Linked DNA regions of Nothobranchius furzeri. The protein of the gene in region 5 interacts with the protein of the main gene of each other region in a biochemical or structural test. Links are inferred from orthologs where the notes say so. Each region holds a gene or a part of one and is shown on either strand. Other genes may lie near its edges. The genes, in order: cftr, pdgfrb, abcc4, abcc2, nherf1b and TBC1 domain family member 10A.

Region 1 (3,500 bases), on a different chromosome or scaffold from region 5:
GATCGTGGTAATAATGGCGCACACCGTTGCACCGAGCAACTGGCAGCGGATGTCTCATGATATAACTATCCCCGTGTCACTGAAGGAAATTCAGATAAGACACAGAGTTGTGTGTTAATGGAACAGTAGATCAAACTCAAGCTGACTTTATTTGCTAAATGCAAGAGCCAAAGTGCCTGACGGCTGTGAGATTGCAGGATGACGCCTGCACCGTCACGAGTAGAAGCGTGAATCTGCAGCAGCAGCAGGTGTAAATCGGCAGTCTGCAGCTCTGCAGCAGCTTTCTCATTAGACCAGCCAATAAAGGTTTATGTTCTTGTGCACAAGCGCAGATAATCATTCTCTTTTCTTGCTACTGGAAGAACGGGTCAGAGCGCAAATGATTTCTTTGTTGCTAAACTGCCGAAAATGTCTACAAGTAAGTTCTACAGAAAGTAGCAAAGGGTCCTCAGAAATGTTACTAGATTTGTCACTAGGCGCTAGGGCTGGGCGATATGGCCTCAAATCTATATTGCGATATAATCTGAAGCATGTGCGGTAACGATATATATTGCGATATATTGCTATATATATTGCTTTTAAATATCCTCATGTGGCAAATATATGCCACTTGAGGCATATAGGCCTCCTCCTCCACCCACTCCATGCTTGCAGTCACTGCCATTCTGTTGACCCAATGTCAGCAGGGTGCACATCTTAAGCTGTTTTTACAGGACCATAGCGTTTTTTAAAACGGGATTTGCCACGGCACCCTGGGGAGGGTTTTGGCATTTATAGTAGCAAAGCTGAAGCTAGAATAAACTGCCATCAGGCACCTCTCCAACCAAGACGGGATATAGCGAGGTCGCTGCCCCCCCCCCCCCCCCCCCCCCCCCCCCCCCCCCCCCGCATGTGATGTACAGGGTCGCGCATTCAGCGTCAGACGGAAGACAAGTCAGACTGATGAAATTTCTTTTTCAGGACGTTTAGCTTTGATGTGACCTGCTTTTTGACTCCTGCTCAGCCAGTGTTTTCACCGCTTTGTCCAATAGCTGGCTGTCTCTCACCGTCCCCGTAAAAAGGCGACTAATCTGTTCGTCCGCTCGCACGGCCAAAAGCTCCATGGTCTCCATGGCTTTCCTTCCGGCCTGCACCCGGCGCACAGTACACGTGACTAACGTGACCACCCTCTTTTGCGGGGGGGGGGGCTCCCACAGTCGCTCCAGAGGGATTACCGGGGCTGACACGCGTTTAGCTGTCAGAGGCAAGGGCCTGATGCGGCAATATTACTACCAAGCGAGGCGGAACGAATGCCGCAATATTTGCGCAACACATTTATAGACATACCATTGCGGTAATATTACGCCGATATGCCGGCATGGTGTGTCCTATAAAAGCACCTTTAGTGACGTCATGTGTTGTTGCGATATCGCGATATAGCCAAAAACGTTATTATTACCCAATTTTATATCGTTTCTACCTTATATCGTTTCTATTGCCCACCCCTACTAGGCGCTAGGAACAGTGACAAAGTTGCTGAGTTGGCAACACTGCCTCTTGCTAAGCTACAGATAGCAAACGCTACGGGCATGACGTCATCACGTATTACGCTGCCTCTGGAAGGCACTGGGGAAGCAGGCTTTATTTCTGCGTTTTTACAGGAAAACAGAGGCAATCACAGTCAAAATGCCAGGGATCATTCTACAGGACCAGGGCACTGCAGGAGAATGTATGAGAAAGAAATTTAAAATTTCTATACATGTATTGGTTGTTAAATTTCCTTAAAATCCCTTTAAATCCATATTTATTCAGTCATGTTTTAGTGCTGGTTGAGCAATGCCTCTTATCTTTTAGCCTTAAACGAGCGATAACAACAACCTGGTTGATGTGTGATTTTCACACAGGTGGATTTCCCCACTGCTGAGGAAGGGCTTCACTAAAAAGTTGGATCTGAACGATGTCTACAAGGCTCCATCTTTTGATCTGGCAGACACCCTCTCTGAGAGGCTGGAAAGGTGTGTGTCTCCCCGCCTGCTGGTTTTATCTCTAACAAACAACCTTTGTTGATACGTTTTATCCTTCTGACTTGCTCCAAACTGCTTCATTCCTACCAAACCAATACTGTGTTACTTTTTCCTCTTTTGTTCCTGTTTACTTGTTTACAGATCAGTCATTGTTAGATTAGGACTAGTTAGATTAGTATTTATGTTGCTGATTAGGACTGAATAAGTTGGGACATTATTTTTGATTCTTTTCAGGTGAAAACACACCATTAATGCCTATACAATAGTAAATAATGCCACAAACACACATACATTGGGTTTATTAATCCATTTTCTATTATTCTGTAATTGTTTCTTTAACCTTTTTACCAGTTTTCTGAATATGGAAAACCGAAAATATCCCAATTTCACATTTTAAGGAGACTGAAGACACCAGTTCATATCAGCTGGTGGCAGAGTTGTGCTGTTTGTAAAATTATAAATTAAGAGACCAAAATGACTTATATTACAACAGAATCAATGTGAAGTACGATAAAACTGTCATGTATCTGGTATAAGTTAGTGCATTTACTATTCTCCTCCACCTCTTCATGTGGTCGCCACCTCTAAACCCACGTTTAGAAAAAAACCCGCTTATCTTTTCACTCCTCTAGTCACGGGGTGAATAAAAGTTCATATTTTTAGAGTTTTTCCACGAGGTATTCTTCAAGCTTCCCCATGTCTGCCGCTAGATATCTTCAGCCCTCTTTATGTTTTTGAGAGAGTAATGGCGGTGCTGTCGACGACAACGGCGTCCTGACCAATCACAAACTTGCATTCTCCGTCTTATTGGGCGGATGTTTAGAAAAGAGAGCTCAACTCCATCTGTCCTTGCGAGCCTGTTGGAGAGCCCTCAGAAGGATGGATAATGGCGTTGCATGCCAAGTATAAATTAGGCTTAAAAGTCTTGCCAACAGCAGCGTTCTCTTACAGGACCTTGGATCGAACCTACAACCTTCTGATTACGGAACAACCGCTCTACACCTTGAGCTCCTGCACACAGCTTCTCAGTTCTTCGGATTTATTTGGCTCCACACCTAAAAGGTGTTCAACCCTCTGGAGGCAGGAGATGCAGATTTGCACATTAAAACCTACCTACCTGGTTACTCCACATACATATTTCATGAGCATTTTTTAACTCAGAAGTACCCCTGAAGACTTAGTTGTTCCTCATTTTATCAAAACTTATTTAGAGCCTGAGAGGGTTAAAAAGGCTTTTGGTTTCTGACAGGATGGAGCATTAACGTGGTTTTCGTCCTGGCCGTGGAACACTGGACCAGCTATGCTTTAGGGGGGTGCTGGAGGGTGCGTGGATGTTTGCCCAACCAATCTACGTGTGTTTTGTGGACTTGGAGAAGGCGTTTGAACGCGTCCCTTGGGAGGCCCTGTGGGAGGTACTCCGGGAGTATGAAGTACCAGGTTCTCCGATACGGGCTGTTAGTTCCCTGTATTACCAGTGTCAGAGCTTGGTCCCTATTA
Region 2 (3,500 bases), on a different chromosome or scaffold from region 5:
TGTTATTGGGTAAAGGGTCGATGGTTCCTATAATCGATCAGTTGTGGTTTATTTCTGAGTGTCTGACTCTGAGCAGGCTCTTATCCGTCACCCAGATGAGGACAAACTGTTTAAACTGGATCCATCCCCATGAGGCTTTTGTACTGCGAGTGGTTGGTTGTCTGCACACGGAATCCCTAATGAATACTTTTTAAACTGGACTCAGTCCCAGTTTAGCTAAAAGCTCCTTTTCATGCGTTTTGTTATTTTCTCTCATACAAACTGTCTCGAAGCTCTTGACATATTTATTTTCTGAATCTGCCAAAGCAAGTTTTTATATTAGTGTCCTTCAAAATAATAAGTCGAATCCCTCTCACTTATGTTCTAATGGGGAGAAGTGTTTGCTTCTTTCTCAGATTTCACACCGTGTCCCACTGAGGCCCTCTTTGTGTTTCAGGTCGAACTCTTGGATCAGGAGCTTTTGGCAGGGTGGTCGAGGCTACTGCATACGGTCTCACACATTCCCAGTCCAGCACAAAGGTGGCTGTGAAAATGCTGAAATGTAAGAAACACAATGTACAATAAAAGCTTCACATGCAAGATATCAGGCAACAGCAGCCTCCTGCACGCTCTCTGACACTGTCTCCCAGCAGCAGCCTGCTGAGCTTCAGCTGGTCTGACAGCCTGATTCAAGTTTCTTTTGACGTTTTCTGGCAGGAACACCGTTTTTCTCCTGCTCGCTGTACTCGTGTTGCTGTTCTCACATCACGTTCAGGTTAACACGTGTTCTTTCCTCTGCCCTCGTCCAGCTACAGCCAGGAGGAGTGAGACTCAGGCTCTGATGTCAGAGCTGAAGATCATGAGTCACCTCGGTCCTCACCTCAACATCGTCAACCTGCTGGGGGCGTGCACCAAACACGGTGGGCATCACACGAAGCTTTCCCACCAACACACACACACACACACACACACACACACACACACACACACACACACACACACACACACACACACACACACACACACGTGGTTCACGTAAAAATATATATTAAAAATTACAGCAAAGATTACTCTGTAGCAATTATTTCTGCATTTTCCTGTTTGTTCAGTAGGTTGAAATGATAAATATTTCTGTTACATTTGGATGAAAAATCCACTAAATTTGATTGATAACTGGTTAAAGATGACTTTTCCGGCACATTTTCTTCTCATCTGATTAAACCGCATTGATCGTATTTGCACTAAGTGAATAATTGTGTAAACAAGAAAGTTATGATTTCTTGTAAGAAATGGAAACAACCGTGTTACAGAGATGAAATTATAAAAATAATAGAAATGTTGATGTTTTAACACTGGACACCATGTTAACACAGCCAATGTGAACTCACTGATTTATGTTTCATTATACTAACGGTAAGCACAGCACTCCTAAGTGAAATGTTACAGCCAAATCAAATGTTTTGGCTCATTAATTTGTAGCTTAGGAAGAAAGATTGTTGGATCCGATTAGCAGGGCACATCTTGCCCTCCATAAAGTAGCTGATGGAATTACTGAACCCTTTTCATACATTAATGATCAGCTCCTGTTGAGACCCCAACCAGACTTTCCCTAATTCTATAACATCCTCACCTCTGCCAAGAAGGAACAATCATTCCTTCATAACTCATTCCATGAGACCGTTACTTGCTAACCGTTAGCATTAGCAACTCCCCAACACAGCAGAACTCCTTCAGGCTTGTGTTTTTTACGGAGATTAAACATAACTTTGCAAAGCGAGCAGAGTCAGTGGAAGAGTTGCATTGCTGTTAGCCAATCAGAGGTGAGATATTTCAATATCATGAATAATAATGAGTAAGACTCCAAATATTACTGTTTTCTGCCCCCCTTTCTTCTGGCTCTGCTTCCTGAAACAGGAGTGCCAGAACTTTTTTCCACAGATAAGAACTCACAAGGCAGTTCTCCCTGTAGGGGGTAGAGTTAATGATTTTTTGTCAGAAAACTATATTAAAAATAAAATTTCCATATGTGCATGTTATGTTTTTAAAGTGACAGTGTGTATTTCCCCTTTTGATAGAGGGCAGTACATACCTAAATTACTGCAAGCAAGCAGTATTTTTGTGTTTGAGTAAGACCTTACCAACGGATGGCCATTAGGGTCAAAAATCCCTGGGAGCTCAACCTCCAGCAAAATAACAAGAACATCAAACTCCCTTTCATCACTGGCAACAATGAAGAGTTAACCCTTTCAGGCTCAAAATACGTTTTGATAAAAGGACAAACAACTAAGTCCCTCGGGGGTACTTCTGAGTTTAAAAATGCTCATTAAATACATATGTGGAGTAACCAGGTAGGTAGGTTTTAACGTTGCAAATCTGCAACGCCTGCCTCCAGAGGGTTAAGGTGTAAAACAACAATGTTTATGAATGGTGAAAGATTTGTAACCGCTTGATACAAATCAGTAAATGCATTTTGTCCTCACAGGCTCCCGTAGAAGGAAACATGGCACCTATTATGGTGTCGCCCAGAGACTTAGACCCGCTCTCGTGTATTTTAGACCAGATTTTTATGATTATATGTTACAAAGCCGCCAATATTTTTCAACAGTCGGGCGTCATTTAATTCATTTTCAACAACATTTTGAGGGATATTTCCAGAGATTAACAGTATTTGCAACATTTAGCTTGTCTTTAAATCCTTATCCTTCATGTTTGATTTAGGCCCCCTTTACCTGATTACCGAGTACTGTCGCTATGGTGACCTGGTGGACTACCTGCACAGGAACAAGCACACCTTCTTGCAGTACTACGCTGAAAAGAACCAGGAGGATGGTTGCCTCATATCAAGAGGAAGCACCCCTCTCAGTCAGAGAAAAGGGTGAGATGAGTGAGGAAAATGCATTCAGAGCTGCACAAAGGAACATTTTATAGAAAATGGAGGACTTTTTCCGAGAAATCTTTGCCTTTGTTTTCAAAAAGTTCTGTTTAACTGATTGTTACAGATGCTTCATGTGATCAGCAACTACAAAAGGCTCGTTTGGATCTGGGTCAGTCGGGTGTTTTTTGATTATTATTTTCACACTTTAACGTATTTTTGCAGCTATGTGTCCTTTGGAAGTGAGAGTGATGGAGGATACATGGACATGAGCAAAGACGAGCCTTTGGTCTACGTGCCCATGCAGGAACAATTAGACTCCATCAAATATGCGGACATCCAGCCATCCCCGTACGAATCGCCCTACCAGCAGGACTTCTATCAGCAACAAGGTTCGACTTGACGCTGTCAGAGAAATCCGTTAGGATTATTGGCATGTGAGGATTTTGCAGATTTGCAAAATGAGGAATAATGAGAAAAACCAAACATTAGATCGAAAAGTGTGAAATGATGATGTGATTTAGCACAGTAACCATTTAGCTTTGTCTGACTAAACCTACTAATTCTGCACACTAAGAGAAAACAATTGGGAATGAAAACGGATGGTTTCAATTCAGAGATTTGCTAATAAAATATTAATAGTTTTGTT
Region 3 (4,087 bases), on a different chromosome or scaffold from region 5:
ATTGGTTTAGATAAATTTCATGATCAGGATCTGTCAGTAAATTTGTCTAAAATTGTTCCAGTCCTCTGTTTATATGATTAACTCTTTAAAGGGGCCAGTGTCTAATAGATACTTCCACTCACGTCATAAATGCTGTCAGTATGCCTTTTTACAAACTCTTAGAGTTACAGTATTTCACCCAAACAATCATCAGAAATCAAACTTGTCATGGTTTGCGCCATGGCACCATTCCACCAATCAGTGCGGGGCTATAACGCGCTAAATATTGGTGTCTGCAGAGCCAGAAAACTTCTCCTCTCGTGTTTATGGTCAGAACGCTAAAACTAACAATGTTCATGAAACTCTCACGTCACAAGGTTGACTAGTTGTGCTAAATAAGGATATATGTGTTGTAAATGTTAAACCCAATGAAATTGGTGAAATCATCGAATAAAAATCAAATCTGCCATATTTGAACATACGCCCTGAACAAGTAAAAGAAGTTATGAATATTTTTAGATAAAATTGTTGTTTTTTTAGACAAAATCTTCATAGTAACAGGAACAATTATGATATTGAATATATTTGCAGTTTTAAACTAAGATTTCTCTTGGAAATGGAGGACAGGTATTGTGCCAACCAATCTCACCATCAGTGATGATGATGATGAACAGGAGGAAGATGACAGATCCTGAAATATAAAATATTCTAAAATAATATAATAATCTATATTTGATTAGAAATAGTATCTATTGTTCAATAACGTTTCTAAAATATTCTACAGTTATCAGGTTTCATTAAAAAATTCTATAGTAATTCTGATATAATGTGTATTAGTAAAGAGTCATATGTTTTAAAATTAGTTAGATTATTCTAAAGTGTCTTATAATTATCTATATTATTCAAAAATAAAAACTTGTTCATGTTTTTTATTTTTGGGATTTCTTATTCTAGAACAGGACCAACGTCCATATTTAATCACCGTCTGAATTTCTGCTTGAAAATAAGTATTTTTGAAAATTGTAACAACAGAAGTGTACTTTTATTGAAAAATACAATTTTATTGAAAATTTAAAAGTTTAAATTCTTCAATGGGTGCCCAATAAAGGATTAATAGATAATTAATTAGATCGCATGGAGCACATTCTACACCCGTAAAATCGCAGGCCAATCGCGTGAGAGCATTGTAAACACTCAGCCAATAGAATAGTTCCTCTTATTTTATTAGCCAATCATATTTGCTTAGGGCGGGACCTGGAAGTGTTTCTATTTCCTTTTTTTTTATTTCTGCATGTAATAACGGCTTGCGTGTCTTGACGTGTTATGTAATCCACCGTACAGTAGCAGGACCCTCCTGTAACATGTGCGTACTACAAAGTTGCGCCACTTAGCCGGAGGCAGCTTTTAAAGGAGGAGAAAGTTAAGGGAGGTGGAGTACTGTGTGGAAGCCGGCCGGCAACCATGGAGAAAGTCAGCAGAGATGCGAAGACCAACCCGGCAGCGACGGCGAACCTCCTGTCGAAGGTGTTTTTCTGGTAGGTCAAATAGTACCCGGCGTGCGCGAGACGCTGCTAGCGTAGCGGGGAGTTCAAACGTGTCTCTGCTCACTTTTACTGTGTTTACATACTTTTGTCATAAGTAAAAGTATTCAAACGGAAGTGCTGCTGTGACAAAGCATGGGCTCAGCAGCAGTTCGATTTAAAACGTCTTTTAGCGGAGTTTATTCTCACTTTTGTTAGTTTTTTGACCCGTTTTGTTTTTATTATTACCTGTTAGCTTAGTGGCACCAGCTACAGGACACCTGGCCGTCGTGTCATCACACGCGCCAGCTCCTGAAACCGGAAAACCGTAAGCGCCAGGTGTTTTGAATTTAGACGATACTGCGTTTGATTCGGTTCTGTTCCAGGGGTCTCGGTTATTTACGTTTCCCAGGGAGAAAAGTGACGTTGTGCACAAGCTAAACACTCCCAAAAAGACTTAAATGATCTGAGGCCGTGACGCAGAAGTTAAATGTGACTCAAAAGGATTACACCAAGATATAACAATGAAAAAATCAAAGGAGTACAAATGAAAATCCTGCTAAAATATGCGCGTGAGGCCTCAGATTAAGTGTGATTGAGTTATTAAGGGTGACATAAATCTGTGTAAGTGGAAAACTGAGTTTACAGTATTTATTTATACTCATAAATGTTCAAATCTGTTGTTTTCGGGGATGCTGATTGGTCAGAAACAGCAAGTCTAAAAGTTTGTCTTGAATTAAAACTAGATTTTCTTGCAGAGATGTTGTTTGGATACTAATTGAGCCCGGTCCACTTGCTTACTACTATATTTACTGTTTATTCCAATGAGCTGAAAATGGCAGAAAAACTTGAATACCATAAAGATTTTTGTGTAAAACGTTGGTTCAAACTGTCCTCTCGAGGTTCATGGTGAATGTGTCAGGTGTCATTAGGCTCCTTAATGAAAAAGGGAAGTGTGTGGGATCAGACTAGAGCTGGATCATAACTGGTGACTTCCTGAATGGGATGAACTGGATCGCTCTGGCCCCCTGACTGGTCTGTTCTTCTCCTGTCAGGTGGCTGAATCCTCTCTTTAGAACGGGCTACAAACGCAGGCTGGAGGAGGATGACATGTTCGAGGTGCTCTCGGAGGACAAGTCGGAGTACGTGGGACAGGAGTTACAGAGGTGAGCGTGCTGCTTTATCTCCTAAATGTTGGACAGGTTACAGATTTGTTCTTATTGGTGATAAATGGAAGACAAGTGTGACCAGATCGATAAGCTAACAGATAGTGACTGTGGATTCCTGCTGCCTTGAAACAGCGCGGCGGTAGCAGTCTACTCCACGGTTCTCATGGGGATGGACATTTCCCATTTTCCAAACAGCGGCTTTTATGATCCCTTTAATCTGAGGCTAACAGGATACGCGTGGTTTAATTGTACTCGTTGTTTTCTTAAAACTGTGACTGAGCTTTTAGGAACTGACAGCTGATTGGAACCAGATCTGTTAGAAGCAAGCTGGACGAACGGTGATGATCGTCGTTAGTTTAGTTGAACTTTGTTGGTAAACAAACAAAAGCGAGTCTCTTCTCTCCCGTGCTGATAGATCCACACCTTGGTTCCAGTCTGCACCGCTACCCTTCTGCCCTCTCTGGTCTGAGGAGGCCGTTTGTTCTTTATTTTGAAATGTAAATTTCTCAGTGATTTAACGGGTTTTAGTGCTGCTCTGAAGGCAGCTTTCTTCTTTCTCACTTCCTTTTAAAGGATAAGGAGCCAGTAGCTGTGTAACTACTGTCTCGCAGATTTTTTTATCTCCAACAACACAAGCGGCTCTGTTTATTTCTGAGGAACTCCCAGAGGAAAAACCAGAACCATAAACGATGCACAACACCACACATGTTGATCTTTTTAACTCTTATCTGGCAGTTTGGATCCAGCCTTTTAAGGAGACTAATCAGGACATCACAACTCTGATCGCTTGTTTGTAAATAAATATCTAACTGGTGCTTGAGCTCACACTAACGGAGGAGTCGGGCCAGCAGAGACGTCGCTTTAAAGTGAGCCAGGACACTTCATCTTTATTTGACAGATTAGAGAAGGTACAGGTGTATCAGTGAGGGCTGCATTCCACTTCTGTAGCTGTGCATGCTGGTAAAACGACCAGCAGAGCTCCCTGTACTTGGAATGCAGCCCTTGTTGCCATGGCAAGGGGAAAGAAATGTAAAAGAGTTAATTTACTTCTAATTAAGGACCCGTAAGATGTAAGATTCCATAGTAAATATGAAATCAACCTTACGGACAGTTGGGTTATTTTAACCAGAAGATTGGAACTTTTGATTGCAGGGATTATGTAACACTTGTATTAAGTGAGAGACGAGAGAGTCACCTTTAAAACGTTTAAGAAGATTTATTTCTAAACAATTTTAAAGAATTTTAAACAAGACTAACTCTAAGTGATGAATGGATCTGGTGTGAATGAGACGTGAGATGAATGGTGTATGTGTGAGTGATGTAATCAGAACTCTCATATCTGGAGAAGCAAGTCTGAATGATGTTGTGATGTTTTGCTTTTAGCTATGATCAGAGTTTGATCGGAGTTTCATAAACACG
Region 4 (3,500 bases), about 29 Mb from region 5:
TTTTGTTGAGTTCCACCTCTAAAAATAACATAAAACCTGTTGAAAAATAGCAATGAATAAAACACATTCCATTAACCCTTTGATGCATAATGGTCACTACAGTGGACAGGTACTCAAAATTGTTATTTATTTATTTTTGCTATTAAGCACAGCTGTTGAAGACTTAATTGCATTTGAGCCCCTCCATTTGGACTTCAGTTAGCCAAGCCAACATATTTCATGCTCAGAATGCACGGTGTCCACTGAGGGGGACATGTAATAAATTATTTGTAAATAATAAAATTTTACCAAAAAAATTTGTTGAAATTTGTTTCATTCACACCTAAAGATGAATGAAAAAAATGGTTAAAAAATCATGGTTGAAGATTTCATAATTCATGCATCAAAGGGTTAAAAAAATTCCATTTAAACAAATGTTTAAATGAAGGGAAACCACCACCAAACTGTAAAATATTCATTCAAAACACAAAGCTCTTAAAGAGCAAGTCACCCCCAAATAAACTTTTTTTTGCTGATAAACTATATAAATGTGTGTCTAATCGTGCTGCAGACACGTGTCGTCAATAATTTGGCACTTCAGTGCATCTTGGTCAAAATTTAAATATTCTGCCTAAAACTGGCAGTGTTGTGCCGTTGTCAGGTAAAAACTCTGCACTGTATTTTAATTTAAATCTGCCACCGCTATTGGCTAAGAGGTATGCTATGATGTAAACTGGTGCATTATGATGTCACAATGCTGTCCTGAGCCTGTGTGTGTGTGTGTATTTGTTAGCGGCTCCGCCCTCTCGGTCTGCCTGGCAACAGCATTTGTTGCATTTTTCAAACATGAAGTGGGAGTGGAGTTAGACTCTGGTAGGGGGTGACTTGCTCTTTAAAATTGCCTTTTAGCACTAGGTATGGCTACAAGCAATCCTAATCTGCCCATTAACACATCAAGTTCATTCACCTGCAGCTGAACAGTGATCTGCTCAGAGAAATGGTCCTTGGTCCGAGCTGACATATCTAGCCAGGACTCAACCTCAGAACCTAAATGGCATTATGAGTAAAAAGCCAGATGGTTCTTCTCCATTCTGGTCGAGGGGAAATGGGTGTTCATGCTTTCAGATGACTGCTAGAACGATTTTCCTCTTCGGCTCAATCGATCAGAAACAATTCCAGCAAAAGAAGTATTTTAAAAACAGTGAACAAAACTCCTTTGCCATGTTTTCAAACCACTCTTAGTAAAATAAGATGTGTGCCTTATTGGAAAATATGAATATACAAATGTTTTAAAGATACAGAAATTTTAATCTGTGAATGAGGAATTTTCTCTTTTATTTTTTTTGAAAGAAATAATTAAAATAGTCTTTCGGCCAGAGTCGGAGGTTTCCAGTCCGTGCCGTGAATTCTGTCACATTCATTGCTGCCTGAGGGTCCAATAGCAATGACCAGTCAGTGGTGGTTTTCAGCCTGCATGAAATGCATGTACCTGAATAATATTAGGTTTTGGTGCTAATTAATTTATATCTATTGCTAAACAGTATGAAAATGCACATATAAATCACTGCACATAAAATATAAATTAAATGTTTTTTGCTCCCTTTGGAAAAGGAGTTTTTAGTTTCAGCAGCTGTACATTTGTACTTTTTATTTGGATTTAAACAGATTTAGAAATCATCTAAATATGGCTGTTATTTATGAACAGTTGAAGTTTGTCTCAACTACACAGTAAAACCCAATTAGTTAGCCATCTAGAAAAAACGCCTGCAAATGGATTGCACTTAAAATAAAAAGTACACGGGTGTAGGTAGTTATGTGTTGGAGCCACACATGTTTACCACGTAAAATGCATTTAAAAGCTAATTACTATAAACAAGACACACCAGTACAAAGTACTTATTAATTTCCTTACTGTTTACTACTGCTCAAATATATGATACTCAGAAATACTAGTTCAGTAAGCTAATTTCCAAGTGGCTCAAACACGTGTAACTTTTTCATATTTTTAAATCATTTTCTTGAGCCAGTGTGCGTTAAAATGACCTTTTACAGGGTTAATGCAATAAAGACCCCCACCGCCTTCTGTGACCAGAATATCACTTGCAACTTCAGAGTGCCGGTCCAGTCCCTGCTGGACTTAGTAAAGTGGCGCTTACATACCTGGCATTGAAGTTTTCATCCAGCACATTTCCTACATGTTTTAGATGAACACAGCTGACTTGTTTGACTTGGTGATGACCCACTCCTGTAGAAATTAATGAAGGCTGGGGAGACATTTCAGTAGTAAGATGAAGGAGTTAAAAAGATTAACACACAGCAAGGAGATACGTTTCACTTTTGGTTTTCTAACAGACACTAAGGGGTGCCACAATGCAAACCAAAACTGTGTCGTATTCCTTTTAAGTGCAATTAGTTTGCTTTTTCTTTTTAAGTTAGGGTATCTAATCAGATGTCTACAGTGTTAATAATAAATCTTTTTCCATATTGCATTTTTTTCCCCTCTCAGAGGTTCTACGTAGCGACTTCTCGACAGCTGCGTCGTCTGGACTCCGTGTCTCGCTCTCCTATATACTCCCACTTTGGTGAAACCGTGTCTGGCCTGTCTGTGATCAGAGCCTACAAACACCAGGAAAGGTTCCTTAAACACAATGAAATCACTATTGATGAAAATCTCAAAAGCGTCTACCCATGGATCGTATCAAACAGGTCAGTTCAAGTACCTCCAAATGCATTTAGACAACATTAGATTGATTTATGTTAACGTCTCTGTGATATTTACTCAACAGATGGTTGGCCATTCGTCTGGAGTCTCTAGGAAATCTCGTGGTATTTTTTGCTGCTCTGTTTGCAGTCATCTCCAGAGAGACCATTGACAGTGGCCTGGTTGGCCTGTCTATATCATACGCTCTCAACGTGAGTCACACACACACACACAAACGATTGTTGTGTCTTTCAACAAAAATAAAATTTATCAAGTTAACCAACGTTTCCTGTTCCGACGTTTCAGGTAACGCAGACCCTGAACTGGCTGGTGAGGATGACCTCAGAGCTGGAGACAAATATTGTAGCCGTGGAGAGAGTGAGTGAATATTGCGAAATTGAAAATGAGGTATGTTTGCCACTTCCTTCTGTTTTACACAAAGATGCTGTTTTTCACTGGTTCATTTAATGGTTTTTGGCTAAACATTTGAAGGCATCCTTAGGTAAATTTTTTTTTTAGATTTGTTACTTAATTTTTGTTTGTCTCGCTATTGTTATAATATTCAGTTTGACATTTGCATTCAACACAAACATAGTTCAAATGAAAACAGCATCTTTCAATCTATTAATTCCTCTTATTCTGCAGGCTGAGTGGGTGGCTCAACATCGACCTCCAGAGAATTGGCCACAGGCTGGAAGGCTGCAGTTTATAGACTACAAGGTCCGCTACCGACCAGAATTAGACCTTGTACTCAAGGGAATCACCTGTGACATAACCAGCAGTGAGAAGGTTTGTGTGTGTGTGTGTGTGTGTGTGTGTG
Region 5 (3,936 bases):
ACAGCTCTCCAGAGTTCATTAATCAAAAGCGTTTGCTATCAAGCACAGGGTCTGTTTCAGGGCTTTGTCACTTTAAGAAAACAAGCTAGAACTGGCCACCCCTGCTCAGGCTGCTATAAGCTGAGAAGCTCCATCTGGATGGGGCTTGGAGTAGAGCCGCTACTCCTCCAGCAATGGGTCTTTCTTGCATGTGAAAGATGGTTTTCGTAATTTTCAAAACAGCTTGTTTTAGGCAAATTATTTCTAAAATCAAACACTGGCAGAAAACGCTCGGAAGGATTTTTTCCACGTTTGGAGTGTTTATAGAGGCAGTAGAGACCACACAGCCTAAAAGGAAGCAAATGGTGAGTTTTTCATAACATGCCCTATAAAGCAGCAGCATCCACCTTTATTCCTGGAACTAGTGGTGCGTTCAGTTTACCTCTGAAGTCTGAATTTGGAACTGGGAATGGTGACACACCTGAGTTAACTGCGTTCTGGTTACTGTAGTCAGCGATGTCAGGATTCCAATATTGGCGACGCACACCTCCCAAGTAGTAATTGTTTGTATACTCCTCTTAATAGCATGGTTTTAAGATTTGCGTTTAACACGCAAACAAAACTTTTAGTATGTTAAGCTTAGAGTTGCAAACACTACATTTAATATTGGTTTTAAACTATGTGTGTTCTGTTAAATAAACACATTTCACCCAAAAGTTACTGTTGTTGATAAGAAGAGCTGCCATTTTTGTTGTCGAGTTCGGAATTCTGAAATTCCTCCGAGTTTCTGACTGCGAGGTCCGACTTTTTTTGGGGGGGGGGGGGGGGGGGGGTTACAATTTTCCAACTAGGAAGTTGGGATTTCCGAGTTCCGAAGATACATCGAACGCACCATCAAACCCTGTTTCTGCTGAGTGAGGCTATTTGCTTTTACACCGAAACCTCAAAATGGCCAGAAACTCCCTTTAGGTATCACAGTAGGATCTGTTAAATGATAACAAACTATAAATAATTATAATAAACTGGTATTTCCACTTGGTGTTCTGTCCCGGTTGGTTTACTCGTCCTTCATGCACCGGTCCCTGAACGCACCTCCTCCTTCCTCAGGGTGAGTTCTGCACGCGGGTCAGGACTCTGGAGCCACCCGGAGGAGGAGGGTTACATCAGAGCGGGACGGGGTTGGGTGTTGTTTTTCACTCATTCTGGCACACCCTCCGTCCTCCCCAGCATCCTGCCCAGAGCCTCCAGTCGTTCCCAGTGAGACCGAGCAACAGGTAGAGCGGCAGCAGCAGCGAACATGCCGAGTAAGAAGCAGCATCTGCGGCCGCGGCTGTGCTCGCTGCTGAAGGGCGACAACGGCTACGGCTTCCACCTGCACGGAGAGAAGGGCAAGACGGGCCAGTTCATCCGCCTGGTGGAGCCGGACAGCCCGGCAGAGTCCTCGGGTCTCCGCGCAGGAGACCGACTCGTTTTCGTCAACGGTGAGGACGTGGAGACCGAGAGCCACCAGCAGGTCGTGTCCCGGATCCGAGCCACGGCGGGCCGACTGGAGCTGCTGGTGGTGGACCCGGACACGGACCTGCTGCTGAAGAAACACAACCTAAAGTGCCTGAAGGAGTTCGTCTCCGATGGTCTCCCGTTACCGTTCGAGGACAACGGAGAGGAGGAGGAGACGCAGGAGGACGAGGAGAAGAAAGACGGAGAGGAGGAGGTGATATTGGTGAAGGAGGACGTAGAGGTGGACGGGACTGAAAACGGGAACGCGAGGCTGGAGGAGGTGAAAGTTCAAGGAGAAGTAGAAGAAGAGGAGGAGGATGAGGTGGTGGTGGTGGAGGAGGAGGAGGAGGAGGAGCAGGCGGAGACACCCAGGGAGCTGACCCCCGTCCCAGAGAGGAACGGGGAGATCCTCGGACACGTGGAGGAGATGCTGAGCATCAGCTCTGAGAAGGTGAGTTGAGTTCTGGAAAAGTTTCATCATGTCCCGTCCTGGTGTCTCTTCCTCTTAGACATGTCCTCCTGAGGAGAATAGGTCCTCAGTGACAAAGACAACCTCAGTCTCATGTCCACAGGTCCACCGATGTGGATCAATGGCCGATACCCAGCTGGTAGAGCTCAGAGGAGCTAGCTCTCTCTAGGTTCTGTGTTTCCTTTTTGTTAATGGCCAAAGAATGAACAAACATGACAGATAACGTTAAAGAGGACGAACGTCAGCTGATCTATTGACCAGGCTGCTGGGTGAGAGGTTCAGGCTCGGGTCTGATGGCCTCAAACAACACCAGAACATTCTGGCCACAGACACATCTGTGTTTATCGTTCTGTCGTCAGCCTGCAGGTTCAGGCTTAGGCAGTGAAAACAAACTACATCAAATAACTAAAGCCTCCACTACAAACAGCAGGAAATAGTCTGGTGTCTTGTTTTATTCCCACTAGTGAGATCCCGTTATGGGATTTGTTTTTCAGCCTTTCATCTTGGAACATTATGGGGTGGGCTTCACTCAGTTGTCTGCTCTTATTTTCTCTGGTCACACTTGTGTGTGTGTGTGTGTGTGTGTGTTTAAATTCATTCAAACCACTTGAGGAAGACGCTCCGGTCAGGGACATCTGTGCCTCTTGCTGCGCCGCCTTGCGTGTTCTGGATGTTTACCCCTGAGGCTGTTTCTGTCTGAGTCCAACACATGTCCTCCCAGTGAGACGGGTAGAAGGAGCGTGTGAGACAGCAGATATCACAAAAGGGCAGAACCAGAACCTGCTGGGCTTCTTTTAAGTGTTTTTATACAATCCTATTTCTGCTTTGGCTTGGTTCACACAGAAAGGTAATCATCCCCACTTTTGATCCTCTCCTTCCATTCTATCTTAAAGACCAAGTTCACTGAGAAACTATTTTTTCTTGTTATTTTTATTTTTAAGATATGATCAGTTGTTCTGAATTTCACTTGCAGGCTGAATGTGAAAACAGTCTTTGCCGTGGAGAGTAAATAGACGAGGAAAGTCTCGTATTAGAAAAGTCAGACTTGGACTCCCCCATCTTGGCTCGTGACAGGGAAGACTTTTGTTGATTCAGGAGAGAGCAGAGCAGGTCTTGGCTAGTAGTAGCTAACCGTTAGCATAAGCAACTCGGCAGCACGGTAGAACTCCTCCAGGCTTGTGTTATTTGTAGAAGAAAAACGTTGCAGAGCAAACAGTCGGTGGAAGAGTCGCGTTGCTCTTAGCCAATCAGAGGTGAGGTGTCCAAAAATCATGAATAACGAGTAAGTCTCCAAATCCTGCCGTTTTATGCCCCCATTCCTCCGACTAACTTCTACTTCCTGAAACTGAAGCGCCAGAGCTTTTTTTCCATTGAGAACGATTCCTAAGGCATTGATTTATACCTCTTTAAAGCTGAGGAGGTCAGAGAGGTCATGATTATCCGTGTTACAGTTGAATTTAGATATTTAGTTACAAATAAGCACTTTTTTGAGTAGGAAGAAAGCAGCTTTTATTAAGTTTTGTTAAAAATTAGTACATACACAAAGCATACATCAAACGTAGACATTTCTGTCATCTTGTTTTCTCTTGACCTTAATGAGCCACTGGCAGCAACTTTAACATTACTTTTAATCTAGTTGCTTTAAACACATATTTATGTTTTTACATGAAAATGGTGACATTTTGCCTAATCTTGTGTTATTACAAAGCTTATGCTGACATTTTGGGTAGTTAGTTACTTTTAAACGCTTCAGAAATTCCTCCAAATATTTCTTAGTTTCTTCCTCAAACAACTTTTTCCTCCTCACCCAACTGTTAAAAGCTCATAAAAAGCAATTTAAGACACAGAAACCGCTGACATTTAGCATTCATCTTTATGAAGTGATGCTTTGAAGTAGAGGGCACTCGCTGCTTCTTCACATCCATCCTTCACAACAACAATGTAATGACAGCTTTAGCTTTTCTCAGTGCGAGCAGCTAGATTTGGAATCA
Region 6 (4,029 bases), on a different chromosome or scaffold from region 5:
TGTTTTGTCTTCTGGACGGACCAGGTTCTGTCTGAGGGTGTTGTTGGGTTTAAAGTTTACCGGGATGTTGTGTTTGGAGAAGATTCTTCTAAGTTTCACTGAGAATCCTGCCACGTATGTGATGATGGTGCCTTTGCCCAAAGGAAGTTGTTGTTAGGTTGGTAGCAGAGCTTTCATGTTTAGTGTTAAGTTCAGTGAGATCATGGAATGGGATCAAGAATTTTCTACTGACAGGAAAAAGATCTCAGCTAACATAGCTGTAGATCACACTGGATAACTCTCTGTGGTGCATTTATTTTACATTTATTTTACTACCTCTTACTAGAGCTGTCTTTAGTAGACGCAAAATATACTTGGATGTACACCTGTGCAATAGCAATAAAGTATCTTGAATCTTGATTTCTGTTAAATGTACTTCCTGAATGAGTGACCTTTTCAGGCTAAAATAACAAATTGACAAATACAGACAGAAGGATGAATTCTTTCTTCTTTTGTAATGCATTGCATCACCATCTGGTATCAGAACAGGTATTGGAAGATAATCAAAAATCAAACAACTTGGACTCGGATCAGGGGCAAAAATGTGGTTGTAACATCTCTAGATATGTCAGCTTTAAAAACTAAAACTATTATTTATGAACTAACATTAACACTAATGATACTAATTGGTATATTTTTATTATGTTGTTTGAACCCAAGGGTCTCATTATCTGAATTTTCTAACTTGTTGGATTGCTCTATAAGGGCCCCTTTTTTTTTTACTTTGAGCACCCGCCCCGTCAAAGGTCTCTGCACGGCCCTGGTTTCCAGTATTTGTGTATTTTTTACCTTTACACGTGTGTTAATTTCGTTTTTTTTCTTTTTCTTTTTTTTCTGCTTTGCTTTGTTAGTTTTATCAATAAAGTTAATTGAGAAGAAATTTCTTTTGATTTTTTTTTACACGTAAAGCAGATGACTTCCGGTAGGTGGCAGAAGAGGGTTGGGTTAAATGAGATTCCAAGGATGTTTTGTTTATTAACCAGTCAGGCAGATTCTCTTCCTTAGCCTGCAGCTAATCTGCATTCCTGCTGACAGAAGAGATTCTCGGTAGAAAGTGTTTGTCGGTCAGCTGACAGCTGTGAGATAGTAGCATGTTACCGTCGGAGTTAGCGTGCAGACACCGAGCTAATTCAACGGTAAAACCAATCGCTCTATTTGAATCTAGCGGGCTAGTCTTTTTGCGTAAGCGAAACATTTATTTCTATAGCGAAGCAAGGACATTTTACCAAAACGTGCCCCCAAGGTGGCTGTTTTAGCATCAATGTGCGAGTAGCTAAGTAATTGTTTCTCATAGCAACTAGCTAGCTGTCACCAGCGGGAGTCTGATGGAGAACTCGTTCTAAAGTTTGAAGACATCTTCTGCTGCTGCCGATGTCGATTAAATGGCAGAAGCCGAGCAGGACGATGGGCTCGAAATCGGTGGCAGCACGGAGAAGTTGACGGATGGAGAGAAAGGAACTTCTCGTGGATCAAACAACTCCTTTACCGGGGACACACAGGTGGACAAGTATGGGTTCTTAGGAGGAGCTCAGCAGAGCGCCACAGAAGAGTAAGGGTGATGTTTCAAATGCAGCTTCTGATTTCTGGTAGATATGGGAAAATGTGAAAAAAATTTCTTAATGGTCATTGTGTGTTGTCAAAGATAATCAGATTTATGTGGTAAATAAAAAAAAACATATGGGAGGATTTCCTGAAGTTACGTGTAAGTGTTGGTTACGGCCGAAAGCAAGTACACTCACCCCTCCCTCACCGGTTTTCCTTTATTCTAGCAGCTAAACTAACACGAAAACTGTCCTCATTTAGTCAAAAGTGTGCTCTTGTTTCAGTTATTCAAAAATTTTATCCTAGTCATGTCCCAATCCTGCCAGGGCCATCTGTCTCCACTAGTGATTTGTTTGAGTTTTATCCTTTTCAAATGGGACAGAGCCCGTTTCCACCCGAACTCGGATAAACCCCAGATTAAACTAGCCTGTGTTTCAAACATCACCAACCCAACAGTAAAACAACTTCCTGTTTACTTTCACTCCAAGAGTTTCCTTATACCTTGGTTAATGTAGATCTATGGTTGCTCCGCATCAGAGTAACTAGCGTGAGATAATCACATGATCCACCAGCATTTGCCTCACCTTAACCACTATATGTTATTGTGGACAGGTTTCAGCTCCAGACTGTCATCGGTGTAAACTGGAACAACACGAGTCCAGGAGTTACACTCACTGATAACACTCCCACCAAGTCTTCCTCATAGTCCGATGTTGAGAATTGGAAGAATGTGTGACTGTTGAGAATGATGTCAAAGATTTAGGGTTTGGTGACTAACCAGTGTTTGATCTAAATGGATCAAAATAATTTCTGTTCAACTTGAGTATGATGGATCAAACTCAGTTTGTGAATTTGACCGTTTATAAAATCAGTGAGACCCCCCACCCCCCCATTGTGGTTCTTCATGAAACATCATGGAGATGATCTTCAGGAATCAAAACTTTTTTTATGCTTTCAATGGAAGAGATCAAACCAGTAGCTGTGTTTTCATTATGATTTAGTTATTCACTTTTTCATGGGTTATAATCTGGAATGTTTGCAGCCCCTGTGCTAAAAGATCAAGGATATCCATTCTTGTAGAGCCTGAAAGGTGGCATTTATGGGATGTTCAGCTGTTTGAAACGAAACCGCAAATCCTCCCGTCAAACCAGCGATCTATATGTAGCGTCTCTGTTCTGCGTTGTTCTTCTGACTTTATTGGCTTTCACCTGTTAAATGTGCTTGTGGTTTAGAGACACCGATGTTGTCCGGAACTATTCTGGTGATCCGATTAGAGCATACTGCTCAGCAGGTTTGTGTTTTGTTCATGTTCGGAAGACATCTCGTATTCTCCTCAGCGCCGTTGGGCGGTGAGGTGTCTTTATAAAGGCTACAGTGAATTAGACTGGGGTAAACGTCCCCCACAGCTTCCTGTTTCCCTTCCGATGGCGAATGTTCAGCTGCTTCGCTTGAGGAAAGTTTCCTGAACGTACAAAGAAGAGACGAGCTGCTTCTCCGCTCCCTCTGAGCAAAAGTGTCTCCTGTCGAACTTTTTAGGAGAGGACGGCGGGACTCTGTTTGACTACTCATACCAGCTTTGTTGTGTTTTCCCTCTCAGGGCGGAGGAGATCCCCTCTGATGTGCTGAGGCAGCGGGAGTTGAAATGGCTGGAGATGTTAAAAAGCTGGGACAAGTGGATGGCCAAAAAACACAAGAAGGTCTGATTTATGTGATGCTTTTACTGATTTGTAATTCCTCCTTAAAGAGGTTCAAGCTGTGGTTTAAAAAGCATGAATTCACACAATCATATCAGATTTGAAGCTCATTTTATTCAGGATTTTATTAAATCCTGCAGTAACTGTGTGTTTGTTGAATAAAAGGTGAAAGAGCGTTGCCAGAAAGGAATTCCTCCATCCCTGCGGGGTCGGGCCTGGCTCTACCTCACTGGAGGGAAAGCAAAAAAGGAGCAAAACAGGAGCAAGTTTGAGGTCAGTTTGAGAATCCTGGTTCCTCTTGAGTCCCAATCATGATGGGTTTACTGTAGTAAATGTTTGTGATGGGACAGCTGTTGCTTTTTCTATCGATATCTGGGAGAACTTAGGTATTCACAACGTACTTCTACACAATAGACGGCTATAGATTAGAAGTTTGACCCTCCCATAACCCAGTCAGATTTGACAAAACTCCTCAGATTAGAAGCGAAGCATCTTCAAGAAACCAAAGACGTCCAGTTGCCTTCATTTGAATCCTTTTGGATCACTTATATAAACTTTTTGCATGTTCAAATATCAAAATAAAAGCTTTAACATTTTGTATTTAAATTACAAACTCAGAGTGACCGATTATAATCAGAAATAATCATTAAAACTGTTTTTTTTTTCAGTCTTCATCACCTTTAAGTTCTAGATCCCAGTTTAATAGATAGAAAATGTGAAAAATTGGTTAAAAAAAAACTAAAATAGTGTCTTA

Evidence for each region.
Region 1: the proteins of nherf1b (region 5) and cftr form a complex in vitro, tested with the Homo sapiens proteins (9 studies listed by BioGRID and IntAct, with this or other methods). The link is inferred for Nothobranchius furzeri from reciprocal best matches to the Homo sapiens genes NHERF1 and CFTR.
Region 2: the proteins of nherf1b (region 5) and pdgfrb form a complex in vitro, tested with the Homo sapiens proteins (2 studies listed by BioGRID and IntAct, with this or other methods). The link is inferred for Nothobranchius furzeri from reciprocal best matches to the Homo sapiens genes NHERF1 and PDGFRB.
Region 3: the proteins of nherf1b (region 5) and abcc4 form a complex in vitro, tested with the Homo sapiens proteins (3 studies listed by BioGRID and IntAct, with this or other methods). The link is inferred for Nothobranchius furzeri from reciprocal best matches to the Homo sapiens genes NHERF1 and ABCC4.
Region 4: the proteins of nherf1b (region 5) and abcc2 form a complex in vitro, tested with the Homo sapiens proteins (2 studies listed by BioGRID). The link is inferred for Nothobranchius furzeri from reciprocal best matches to the Homo sapiens genes NHERF1 and ABCC2.
Region 6: the proteins of nherf1b (region 5) and TBC1 domain family member 10A form a complex in vitro, tested with the Homo sapiens proteins (2 studies listed by BioGRID and IntAct). The link is inferred for Nothobranchius furzeri from reciprocal best matches to the Homo sapiens genes NHERF1 and TBC1D10A.

Annotation. Positions count from the first base shown.
Region 1 is NC_091744.1:52,976,581-52,980,080, forward strand, and holds part of cftr (cystic fibrosis transmembrane conductance regulator), read left to right. Parts: intron 1-1,883; coding exon 1,884-1,994; intron 1,995-3,500. UniProt on the Homo sapiens protein: Epithelial ion channel that plays an important role in the regulation of epithelial ion and water transport and fluid homeostasis. Mediates the transport of chloride ions across the cell membrane.
Region 2 is NC_091741.1:96,092,751-96,096,250, reverse strand, and holds part of pdgfrb (platelet-derived growth factor receptor beta), read left to right. Parts: intron 1-436; coding exon 437-541; intron 542-788; coding exon 789-899; intron 900-2,697; coding exon 2,698-2,854; intron 2,855-3,076; coding exon 3,077-3,243; intron 3,244-3,500. UniProt on the Homo sapiens protein: Tyrosine-protein kinase that acts as a cell-surface receptor for homodimeric PDGFB and PDGFD and for heterodimers formed by PDGFA and PDGFB, and plays an essential role in the regulation of embryonic development, cell proliferation, survival, differentiation, chemotaxis and migration.
Region 3 is NC_091754.1:57,242,153-57,246,239, forward strand, and holds the start of abcc4 (ATP-binding cassette sub-family C member 4), read left to right. Parts: upstream 1-1,287; 5' UTR 1,288-1,440; coding exon 1,441-1,514; intron 1,515-2,554; coding exon 2,555-2,665; intron 2,666-4,087. UniProt on the Homo sapiens protein: ATP-dependent transporter of the ATP-binding cassette (ABC) family that actively extrudes physiological compounds and xenobiotics from cells.
Region 4 is NC_091752.1:21,701,304-21,704,803, reverse strand, and holds part of abcc2 (ATP-binding cassette sub-family C member 2), read left to right. Parts: intron 1-2,485; coding exon 2,486-2,685; intron 2,686-2,765; coding exon 2,766-2,892; intron 2,893-2,986; coding exon 2,987-3,088; intron 3,089-3,325; coding exon 3,326-3,469; intron 3,470-3,500. UniProt on the Homo sapiens protein: ATP-dependent transporter of the ATP-binding cassette (ABC) family that binds and hydrolyzes ATP to enable active transport of various substrates including many drugs, toxicants and endogenous compound across cell membranes.
Region 5 is NC_091752.1:50,771,292-50,775,227, forward strand, and holds the start of nherf1b (Na(+)/H(+) exchange regulatory cofactor NHE-RF1), read left to right. Parts: upstream 1-1,136; 5' UTR 1,137-1,276; coding exon 1,277-1,927; intron 1,928-3,936. UniProt on the Homo sapiens protein: Scaffold protein that connects plasma membrane proteins with members of the ezrin/moesin/radixin family and thereby helps to link them to the actin cytoskeleton and to regulate their surface expression. Necessary for recycling of internalized ADRB2.
Region 6 is NC_091746.1:51,452,372-51,456,400, reverse strand, and holds the start of TBC1 domain family member 10A, read left to right. Parts: upstream 1-1,229; 5' UTR 1,230-1,421; coding exon 1,422-1,588; intron 1,589-3,178; coding exon 3,179-3,278; intron 3,279-3,440; coding exon 3,441-3,548; intron 3,549-4,029.